3 linked regions of the Nothobranchius furzeri genome follow. The protein of the gene in region 1 purifies or fractionates together with the protein of each later gene. This does not show direct contact. Links are inferred from orthologs where the notes say so. Each region holds a gene or a part of one and is shown in the gene's direction. Other genes may lie near its edges. The genes, in order: ptpn21, NEDD4-like E3 ubiquitin-protein ligase WWP1 and trip6.

Evidence for each region.
Region 2: the proteins of ptpn21 (region 1) and NEDD4-like E3 ubiquitin-protein ligase WWP1 purify together in Homo sapiens (affinity purification with mass spectrometry; 3 studies listed by BioGRID). This does not show direct contact. The link is inferred for Nothobranchius furzeri from reciprocal best matches to the Homo sapiens genes PTPN21 and WWP1.
Region 3: the proteins of ptpn21 (region 1) and trip6 purify together in Homo sapiens (affinity purification with mass spectrometry; 3 studies listed by BioGRID and IntAct, with this or other methods). This does not show direct contact. The link is inferred for Nothobranchius furzeri from reciprocal best matches to the Homo sapiens genes PTPN21 and TRIP6.

The regions. Positions count from the first base shown.
Region 1 is NC_091758.1:26,610,479-26,614,130, reverse strand, and holds part of ptpn21 (tyrosine-protein phosphatase non-receptor type 21), read left to right. Parts: intron 1-3,487; coding exon 3,488-3,652.
Region 2 is NC_091747.1:36,679,723-36,683,374, reverse strand, and holds part of NEDD4-like E3 ubiquitin-protein ligase WWP1, read left to right. Parts: intron 1-913; coding exon 914-1,066; intron 1,067-1,292; coding exon 1,293-1,365; intron 1,366-3,652. UniProt on the Homo sapiens protein: E3 ubiquitin-protein ligase which accepts ubiquitin from an E2 ubiquitin-conjugating enzyme in the form of a thioester and then directly transfers the ubiquitin to targeted substrates.
Region 3 is NC_091742.1:54,147,261-54,151,365, reverse strand, and holds the start of trip6 (thyroid receptor-interacting protein 6), read left to right. Parts: upstream 1-1,247; 5' UTR 1,248-1,368; intron 1,369-1,370; exon of another isoform or gene 1,371-1,476; intron 1,477-1,842; 5' UTR 1,843-1,882; intron 1,883-4,105. UniProt on the Homo sapiens protein: Relays signals from the cell surface to the nucleus to weaken adherens junction and promote actin cytoskeleton reorganization and cell invasiveness. Involved in lysophosphatidic acid-induced cell adhesion and migration.

The DNA.
Region 1 (3,652 bases):
ACAATGTCCGCTAATCGGAGATCTGAACAAGCTTCTACATTTGACAGACACCAGGAGATTCAGTTCATGACAACTGATATTCAGTGTTCAAAAATGCAGTTTTTGAATTCAACAGGTGCTGCACACCAAATCTGCTGTTGCCCGGGCTTGATTGTCATTCGCTGAGAACTCCCTTGTCCTATTTCAAAATGTCAGAGACAAGGATAAAAAAAAAAAAAAAAGAAAAGAAACAACAAAATAAGGAGATAAAATGCAATTTGACAATAGTCATAGTCAAATAATGTCACAGTTTTGTTGGTCTGGAATTACTGTTAAATCACACAGTCAATTTCCCAGCCCAAGGGTAGCAACTAATAACCTCCATACTTGGCTATTATTTTGGCTCCCTTTCTACTACCATGTACTGATAAACACTCAATTTCTCGAACCGGGGGGTTTCACTAAAACCCTTCACTTTCATCCACTAAAGTGACACAGTTTATAGTTCAAATTATATTAATCGCCAGATACCAGAAATTAAATATTTGGGTCGTGTCTAACCTTTTGATGCACAAATTAGGAAATCTTCAACCATGATTATTTAACAATTATTCTCATTCATCTTTGGGTGTGAATGAAACAAATTTAAACAAATATTGTTTGTAACATTTAATAATTTGCTAATAATTTATTACATGTTCACCTCAGTGGACAGCGTGTATTCTGAACATGAAATATGTTGGCTGGACTTGCTGAAGTCCACATAGAGCAGGGGTGTCAAACTCAAACTCACAATGGGCCGAAATGAAACTCTGGGACGGTGTCGAGGGCCAAACTTAATATTTTTTGAAAAAGTGACGGCAAATTTGCACGTTTTCTTTATCACCATGTATGCAATTTTGAACCTTTAAATTTGGAAACAAACGTATTTCTGCATTAACACTGAATGTGGAATAACCAAATTACACACGAGCAAGTCAGTTACAAATAAAACACATCAGTGGTATTCAATACTTGTGGGATAATCAGCATTTTTAAAATCTTTTCAGGATTTATGTTTTCTTGTTTATTCATTTTTCTTATTTTTATTCTCCTTTTTTTCTCCTGTAATAAGTGTCATCGCTGCTGTGACGTCTACCTTTCCCCACTGAGGAACAATAAAGGGATTTTCTATTCTATTCATCTATCTGCAGCCTTTCCACTTCCTTTTTACTGTAGGTTAAATCTTTTCTTACGTGCCAACAACAAAATAAAAATATCATTTTATCTTAAATGAAAATGCAACATCTCACCTGTTAACTTTCATGTTTTGGAGCAGAAAAAGAACATAAAACCAACATATTTAAAGCTCAGTTTGCTCCACTGGTTTACTGTGATGCTCACCTGTTCCAGCCAGATACCTGCATCATGGGGCTGATCTGAGCTGAGGAGGAGACTCCTGTTGTTTTGTTCATCTTCATCATAATGACAACATTAGATGACAACAGGTGCTCACATAGGTTTGTGCTGATGAACATGTCTGAGCAGCTTGACCACGTTGTTGTGTGTCGGGGAGGAAACACGACAGCAGCCACAGAGTCGTGCTGGTTTGAGCGTGTCGCTGCTCGCTGGAGTTATATCAGCTCTGTCTGGACGTTAGTTTGAAAACTTTCTCTTTCAGTCGTGAACACATTACTGAGCAGCTAGAATCTCCGTTTCTGGGCTTCAACGTCAGAAAACAGCTGAGTGAACTCGGCGCTGAGTGAGAGGAGTGTAGTTTGTCTGAGACAGCCGAGCTGCAGACACCCAACTACCTCTGACTGCCTCGGCGCTGAAAAAACACAAAGGAGGGTGCGCGTCTGCTCCACGCTGGCGCCGCAAAGCATCATGGGAGTTGTAGTCTTTGCGGTAAAATCGGCCAGCAGGCCAGTTTTAATATATTTTTGATATTTATCTCGCGGGCCACATAAAAATGCTCCGCGGGCCGCATATGGCCCGCGGGCCTTGACTCTGACATATGTGACATAGAGGGTCTCAAATGCAATAAAGTACTCAACAGCTGTGCTTAATAGCAAAAACAAATAAGTAAATTACAATTTTGAGAACCTGTTCAAATTATATTTTTCATCTTTATTTTCTAGTTATAACCTTCAGGCCGCAATTGACCTTGGTGGCTTAGACTCATGGCACAGCTGCGGTTGTTTTGGTTTTTTAGGCAGGCCTTGCCTCCTCTCTGTTTCACATTTTCAACACTTTTTTTCTCTCCACCGCTCTGTGCTTTCTTGTAAGCATAATACATTTGTGACACGTCAGCGGTTATCAAAAACACGTTTTCCATCAATTCGCTGATAATTTTCAAACCATTTCCACATTTCCAGGATCTACATTTCCATCAATGTGCAATATTTACTCAGAAGGTATTTCGTGAGTTCTTATTCCCCCATACATAGATACCACACGTACAAAGCAATCCATACACTCTCATTTATCCAAACAACAATTAAAGCAGGCAACATCTAAGACAAACAAACAACAATACAGATAACTAGAGTAGCGCTTCTTATACAAGGCAAAACACCCAAAGACCCAAGCCAAATTCTCCCATAGCAGGGTAGCATTTATACTTCCAGCCAAAACGCCCAAAAACCAATTGAACCTCTTAGTTATCACACCGGTCCATTTATTTATCATTTATAACTTTATCACACCAGGGTAGCGTTTATATTTTGGCAAAAACGCCCAAAAAACCAAGCCAATAGAGCATTTCTGGAATCTGTTTATCTTTCTCTCTGACCAAAACAGCATTCCAGGAATCTGTCAGCGTTTATATTTTCCGGCTAAAACGCCCAAAAACCAATTTAACCCCTGGTCACCTTGGATTCTCTCTCGGTACCACAAGACAAAGCGACAAAAAACAACTTGTCTCACCAAATCTCTCCACTCAGGGCTTGAGTTCGTGGATACGCATTCCTCCTAACGACGTCAAGACCTCACCGACCCCCCAGCAAACTCAGCGCTGGAGATTAGGTAGTCGACAGTCGTCCGGCGTCGGCTCTTGGCGCCGCAAGGTGATGGGACCCCCGCTTTCGAAGGACCAAATAATGTCATGGATTTTATCAATATGTTCATCAATAACCCATTTCCTATAGTGAAGAGAGAAGGAGACAATGAGCAGACAAGTCAAACAGTTATAACTGTGGCAAAATGCACCGAACATCCGGTCACAAAGTTTATTTATAGAGAGGGGGAGTGAGAGAGAGATTGTGTGTGTGTGTGTGTGTGTGTGTGTGTGTGTGTGTGTGTGTGTGTGTGTGTGTGTGTGTGTGTGTGTGTGTGTGTGTGTGTGTGTGTGTGTGTGTGTGTGTGTGTGTGTGTGTGTGTGTGTGTGTGTGTGGCATAGAGCAATACATTTACATTCAGTTGACTGAGTCAATGATCAAGAATTAATAAACATAAATTTTCCATAACAACCAGATTTCTGTTTTGGATTGTTTATGAACGGGGGAATGACGGGTGTGTTCTTCACCAGTGTCGGCTGCTGGAGGAGCACTTGGAAAGAGGCGAGCTGTTCAAGGAGTTTGAGAGCATCCCGAAGCGCCGTCTGGGATCGGAGTGCAACGTAGCTGGAAATCCAGAAAATGTCGAGAAGAACCGCTTCCTGGACGTCCTGCCCTATGACAACACCAGAGTGGAG
Region 2 (3,652 bases), on another chromosome or scaffold:
TCGCTGGAGCGGTTTGCAGCTGAGTGTGAAGCAGCTGGGGTGAGAGTCAGCTCCTCTAAATCTGAGACCGTGGTCCTGAGTCAAAATGCTTTCTTCAGGTCAGGGACAAGGTCCTGCATCAAGTGGAGGAGTTTAAGTATCTCGGGATTTTGTTCACGAGTGAGGGAAAGCTGGAGCGGGAGATCGACAGGCGGATTGATGATGCGGGCGTTGTACCGGTCTGTCATGGTGAAGAAAGAGCTGAGCCGGAAGACGAAGCTCTGGATTTACCAGTGGATACGTTCCCGCCCTCACCTATGGTCACAAAGGACTGAACGAACGAGATTACGGATACAAGGGTCTGCAATGAGTTTTCTCCGCAGGGTGGCTCGGCTCTCCCTTAGAGATAGGGTGAAAAGCTCGGTCATCTGGGAGGGGCTTGGTGTAGATCCACTGCTCCTCCACATCAAGAGGATCCAGTTGAGGTGGCTCGGGTGTCTGATTAGGATGCCTCCTGGACGCCTCCCTGGTGAAGTTTTACAAACACGTCCAACCGGGAGAACTAAAGGTAGACCCAGGACACACTGGAGGATCTCTCGACTGGCCAGGTAACGCCTTAGGATTCCCCGGAGGAGCTGGCCCAAGTGGCTGGGGAGAGGGAAGTCTGGGTGTCTCGGCTTAGACTGCTGCCCATGTGACCCGACCCCGGATAAGCGGCCTAAAATGGATGGATGGACAAACTCGTCTTGGACCTCGGTCTGGGGAGGTTTTGCTGCTCAGTGGGTGGGACTTGAGTCAGAGAGCTTTTGATGTGTTGAAAAGGGTCACAAAGTTTACATCTATTATAAATGTTCAGGTTATTATTATTATGGTAAGAGAATCGTAATCCTCCTCTCACTCCTCTCCTTTGACTCAGTCTGGTTTTTCATCCTAGTGGAGAATGTGAAAGAGATGCTGAATCTGAATGTGGAGCAGAAAGGGGTTCTTGTGCCTGTGGGGGATCTGACCGTGTACCTCGATGGTCTGACTGTCACTGACCAGCCTGGACTGGAACCACTTACTAATGGCAACACAGCAAATGGCACCAGTGAGTTGAAGATTTTTCCATCTAAGTGGCTGATGGCGTGGTGTCAGGTTCAGCCTGCAGCTGCATTTTATTCAATTAAAAACAGGAAAAAGCTGTAAAACACGGTGAAACAACACAAATGCATGCAGTTACATAAACTCAGGGAGATGTGTGTTTCTTAATGAGGAGCTATAAATGTTCTATGTTGTGTAATCTTTCTGACATCATCTTCTTAAATGTGTTCCAGAAGTCCAGCAGAACGGTGAGGCTCTTCACGAAAACGGGGATTCATCCTCTTCCTCTTCAAGGGCCGCCAACAGGTAAAGCCAGGAGACAAACCAAACCTTTGTGTTCACACGTATTTACCCCGCAGCCATGGCTGCATTCCACTTCTGCTGCTGAGCAGACTGGTTGTTCTGTGAAAACGCCAACAATACAGGGAGTGCAGAATTATTAGGCAAAAGAGTATTTTGTCCACATCATCCTCTTCATGCATGTTGTCTTACTCCAAGCTGTATAGGCTCGAAAGCCTACTACCAATTAAGCATATTAGGTGATGTGCATCTCTGTAATGAGAAGGGGTGTGGTCTAATGACATCAACACCCTATAACAGGTGTGCATAATTATTAGGCAACTTCCTTTCCTTTGGCAAAATGGGTCAAAAGAAGGACTTGACATGCTCAGAAAGGTCAAAAATAGTGAGATATCTTGCAGAGGGATGCAGCAGTCTTAAAATTGCAAAGCTTCTGAAGCGTGATCATCGAACAATCAAGCGTTTCATTCAAAATAGTCAACAGGGTCGCAAGAAGCGTGTGGACAAACCAAGGTGCAAAATAACTGCCCATGAACTGAGAAAAGTCAAGCGTGCAGCTGCCAAGATGCCACTTGCCACCAGTTTGGCCATATTTCAGAGCTGCAACATCACTGGAGTGCCCAAAAGCACAAGGTGTGCAATACTCAGAGACATGGCCAAGGTAAGAACGGCTGAACGACGACCACCACTGAATAAGACACACAAGCTGAAACGTCAAGACTGGGCCAAGAAATATCTCAAGACTGATTTTCTAAGGTTTTATGGACTGATGAAATGAGAGTGAGTCTTGATGGGCCAGATGGATGGGCCCGTGGCTGGATTGGTAAAGGGCAGAGAGCTCCAGTCCGACTCTGATGCCAGCAAGGTGGAGGTGGAGTACTGGTTTGGGCTGGTATCATCAAAGATGTGCTTGTTGGGCCTTTCGGGTTGAGGATGGAGTCAAGCTCAACTCCCAGTCCTACTGCCAGTTTCTGGAAGGCACCTTCTTCAAGCAGTGGTACAGGAAGAAGTCTGCATCCTTCAAGAAAAACATGATTTTCATGCAGGGCAACGCTCCATCACACGCGTCCAAGTACTCCACAGCGTGGCTGGCAAGAAAGGGTATAAAAGAAGAAAAACTAATGACATGGCCTCCTTGTTCACCTGATCTGAACCCCATTGAGAACCTGTGGTCCATCATCAAATGTGAGATTTACAAGAAGGGAAAACAGTACACCTCTCTGAACAGTGTCTGGGAGGCTGTGGTTGCTGCTGCACGTAATGTTGATGGTGAACAGATCAAAACACTGACAGAATCCATGGATGGCAGCCTTTTGAGTGTCCTTGCAAAGAAAGGTGGCAATATTGGTCGCTGATTTGTTTTTGTATTGTTTTTGAATGTCAGAAATGTATATTTGGGAATGTGGAGATGTTATATTTGTTTCACTGGTAAAAATAAATAATTGAAATGGGTATATATTTGTTTTTTGTTAAGTTGCCTAATAATTATGCACAGTAATAGTCACCTGCACATGGATATCCCCCTAAAATAGCTAAAACTAAAAACAAACTAAAAACTACTTCCAAAAACATTCAGCTTGATATTAATGAGTTGTTTGGGTTCATTGAGAACATGGTTGTTGTTCAATAATAAAATTATTCCTCAGAAATACAACTTGCCTAATAATTCTGCACTCCCTGTAGTGGAATGTAGTTTTGTTTTCTTAACGGCGGTACCAGCGTAGCATCCAATTCTGTCGGAGTGGGACGTGTCCTTCCACATTTACCGAGTAGGAAATATTGGTCCGCCGTTATGTGGTACTGCAGGGCTGAGCGCTGGAGTTCTAACCTGAGACTGGACCGGAACCGAGTCAGCCCAACCGGTTCAGTCGGACTTGGGCCAGTGAATTATGTTAATTGAGTGGGTTGTTCCGCTCCACTCGCTCAAACAGCAAATGAGAGAGAGAGAGAGTGGCACCCTGTCTGCTCACACAAGGGAGAAGATCGGAGGACACACCTCCAAACACGTTATTTCTCCCCGAAATGCTTAAAACTCAGACTGAGTGTTGTGATCCGGTCTTGGGGAGGAGGTGGGGTGAGTGACGGCGGCTGCAGCACAACCTTCTGTCTCTTTTATTCTTATATCTTTATTTTTTTGTTTCATGATGATAAACTGATGTTAAATTCAATTTAAAGAAAAACTGGGAGGCTGCTTTGGTTCATTTTAAGTTGCAGGAGATCTTGTTTCCCATCTGCTGCTCTAGAGACGCCATGCACATGAGGAGATAAAAGTCCCACAGCCAAGCGGTTGTAG
Region 3 (4,105 bases), on another chromosome or scaffold:
AGCCTTCTGTGGTGGACGATCAGAAAAGATGTTACATTTGCTGCTGGGTGTGAATGTTAAATTTGCACAAAGAGAAGCATGTGTGAAAACCAAAGAGGACTAAATACATTCCCTTACAGCCGCAGAGGCCCAACACTCCTGACACGTCACAAGAAGCTCTGTGGGGTTTTGTCTGATCAGGCAAAAGTCACAGGGGTTATCACAGCCGGAGACCTCAGGGAGTAATTGCAGATGAGTTTTATGTAAAGCATTAGGTAAAATGAGCCAAATAAGGCTAAAGCATTACAATTCTTTCATTTTTCTACAACACTAACTGTTTTTACTCATTTGCCACAGCTTTAGTTGGTAATAAACAGTATATTTGACATGTGAAGTCTCTTGTTTGTGTGAGGCAAAGGATCATGCCAATTACTGCAGAGATATTTAGTTTATTTGATCAGACATTCAGGAGAGACTAGGAGTAGAGCCGCTGCTCCTCCATATCGAGAGGAGTCAGTTGAGGTGGTTTGGGCATCTTGTTAGGATGCCTGCTAGACGCCTGCCCAGGAAGGTGTTTCAGGCATGTCCTGCCGGCAGGAGGTCCCCTGGTCGACCCAGGACATGTTGGAGAAAGTACGCGTTGGAGAAAGTACATCTCCAAACTGGCCCAGGAATGCCTTGGGGTCCTACTGGAGGAGCAGGTGGAGGTGGCTGGGGAGAGGTCAGCCTGGAACTCCCTGGTTGGGATGCTGCCCTCGCTGCCCGGATCCGAATAGGCAGAAGAAGACGAGACTAGATATTTAGTACATTTATATATTTCTAAACTTTTAAAATAATTGCTCAATACGGCTAAAATATTTACATATTTTTCCAATTATAGTGGGACATTTAGATGTATTTTATTACTTATATATATATATATATATATATATATATATATATATATATATATATATATATATATATACATACACACACACATAGATAGATAGATAGATAGATAGATAGATAGATAGATAGATAGATAGATAGATAGATGTGTGTGTGTGTGTGTGTGTGTGTGTGTGTGTGTGTGCGTGCGTGCGTGCGTGCGTGCGTGCGTGTGTGTGTGTGTGTGTGTGTGCGTGCGTGCGTGTGTGTGTGTGTGTGTGAGAGAGAGAGAGAGAGAGAGAGAGAGAGAGAGAGAGAGAGAGAGAGAGAGAGAGAGAGAGAGAGAGAGATTTTTGTGAAAAAAGGTAAACTTTCCTTTATTCCAACCCCTTGCCTCCTCCCAACACCACCTCTCGTGCTCGTACACAGGCGCGCGCGCGCATCCAGAGCTACGTCACGCGCTGGGAATGCAGCGAGGAATTGGTGTCTTCGCTAAAGGCCTTCAGATCCGTGACAAAAGTAGGTTAACGACGCTTCAACGACAGCCAAGTCTTCAGGACAACTTTCACTAAGTCGTTAACGTTTAAATGGACTCGTAAGTCGTGTTTGTGCGGCTCGGTTCGGGCGGTAGGTGGCGGTTTGCCGCATCGTTTCCTTTTTGGTCGTGATGAAAGTTAGCCCGGTGTTGTGCCGAAATAAGCTCCCCGCCGTGATTAGCACCTCTCGGATTCATGACATGCTAGCAAACATGTAAACAAGGCTGCTATTAAAGTTAATTACGGGTAGTTTTATTTCATTATGGAGTGTTTGATCACTTAAGTGCGGTGATTTGCACATGCGTGACGCACAGACAGATTTAGACCAGACAGATTCTCTGGTTTGACATATCGTTGCTGCTGCGGAGCTAAAAACGGGACAGTATCTCAGACGGATGTGAGTTTATCTGCTTTTCTGTTTCAGCCTTTTTTTCCCCCCTTTGTTATTTGTGTGTAGATGAGACCTAAGGACAGGCGACAGTAAAAGCACTGTGAAGGTAGGAATGCTGATTTTTATTTTGAAAAAACTGACCAGAAGCACAGTGGTGTTTTTTATTTTTAGTTATGTAATTTATGTTTTTATATCTTTATCAGTAGTAACTGGCACACAAACAAACATTTAACTATCATTATCTTTTATTTCGAAAATAAGTGTTTTATGTTGCCTAATTGTAAAATTAAATAATGAATGTAAATATGAGATTTGCAACAGGAAATGACGACTTATTGTGTTTATTGGGTTATTGCGTTGCACAAACATTTGATATGCTTTATTTAGAATTTAAAAGTAGGAAGTTCTTTATATTTATTGTCTTTCATCCAATTCAGGACTTGGTACTGATGATTTACTCTATGCAGACAGTTTGAACAATAAGTAGAATTTGTTATGCATGCTCCATAGGAAACATTTGGCTCCAAACCTTGAGGGGGATGAAACCATGGAGATTAATTTCCCTGGGCCAGTCTGCCTTAGATTTGACTGTGTGCTCATCCGGATTCAGACAAACGCTTTAATCGGGACCACTGCGCAGGTGGTGATCACCCTTTCCTCAGTGTGAACTCCAGTTTAACAAGTCCTGAATCTGCTGGTTTTACATGGATCACATATCTTTAATTTGAACGTTAAAACCAGTAAAAAAAACATCATGTTAAGGGTTCAAATCTCCTGTCTGAAATGTATTTATATGAAGCTACATCGACATCTGATCTGACATTATAATCCTCTTAACCACGAGGAGGGTCACACCACCCACGTCCAATCGGTGTGAGTGGGTTATTCATTTCTGCACAGGGACTGCACTTGTGTCAGATTTCACATGGCTCGTTTGGGTGTCTGCAGTCTGTCTCTGGAGTTTGTGTCTGCCATTTATTCTTGTTCTGGAAAACACGTTTCATTAAGTCATTTTCAACATTTGTAATTTAGTAATTATAACTTCTGTTTTTGGTATTGGGGGGGGAAAACAAATGTTGTTCATCAAGATTTTTTAAATCGACAGGACAGAGTCTTTACACCCACACGGGTCAAATCAATGTCCTCCAGTAAAATAGTCCACAACAAGTCTTCTGTCCACAACCCAACACATTTTACTGCTGAAAAAATGTCCTTTAGGTTTGTCTCCTTCTCTCTGTAATCTCTATTAGCATCCTCAAATTAGCTGATCTTACCTGATCAACAGGGGAAGGGTCGTCGCCTCTGCTGTGGCAAAATTGATTGGCCAACAGGTCAGACGTGCCGGCCCCATTCCCATAATTAAGGTGCAGTTTATTGTTGATTTTTGTGTTCGCAGACACAAACATTGGAGCAAAGAAAAGAATGCTGTAGCTACTGTGAGGCATGAAGGGGGTTTGGGTCACCAGGTGTCTTTAAAGAGCAAGTCACCCCCAAATAAACTTTTTTTTGCTGATAAACTAAATAAACGAGTGTCTAATCGTGCTGCAGACACGTGTCGTCAATAATTTGGCACTTCAGTGCATCTTAGTTAAAATTTAAATATTCTGCCTAAAACTGGCAGTGTTGTGCCGTTGTCAGGTAAAAACTCTGCACTGCATTTTAATTTAAATCTGCCACTGCTATTGGCTAAGAGGTATGCTATGATGTAAACTGGTACATTATGATGTCACAATGCTGTCGTGAGCCTGAGTGTGTGTGTATTTGTTAGCAGCTCCACCCTCTCGGTCTGCCAGGCAACAGCATTTGTTGCATTTTCAAACATGAAGTGGGAGTGGAGTTAGACTCTGGTAGGGGTTGACTTGCTCTTTAATCTGTGGGGTTTAATGAAATCTGGAGACCTTTAAAGCTGTGTGTCCTCTGCCATTTTTGGTCTGTTTGGGGTTGATTTTCCACTCATTCGACAATCTTTGGTGCTAGGCTGTTTTGTGTCGTTTGCATGTGGACGGTGACAGTTATACAGGGCACGCTCGGCTTTAGGTGTTCTGGATCTGCCCAGTACTAGAACGCTTGTCTCAGGTCATGGGCCCTCCAGCAATATCAGTGAAACACCGGCACCATTCTGACACGTTTTCAAGGAAAACAAGAAAGATCCAGCAGTTCCAACTAAACATTTAAGATTCCCATGTCCTGGACCACTGACCATCTACACAAACCTTTTTCCTAAAGGTACCAACAACTTTATGTTTTTAATTTCTACGACTCCTTTCATTAAGAGTGTCCGGAACGTCTCTCAGGTGGAATTCATCCCTTTGATTTCGCTGCTGTTAGG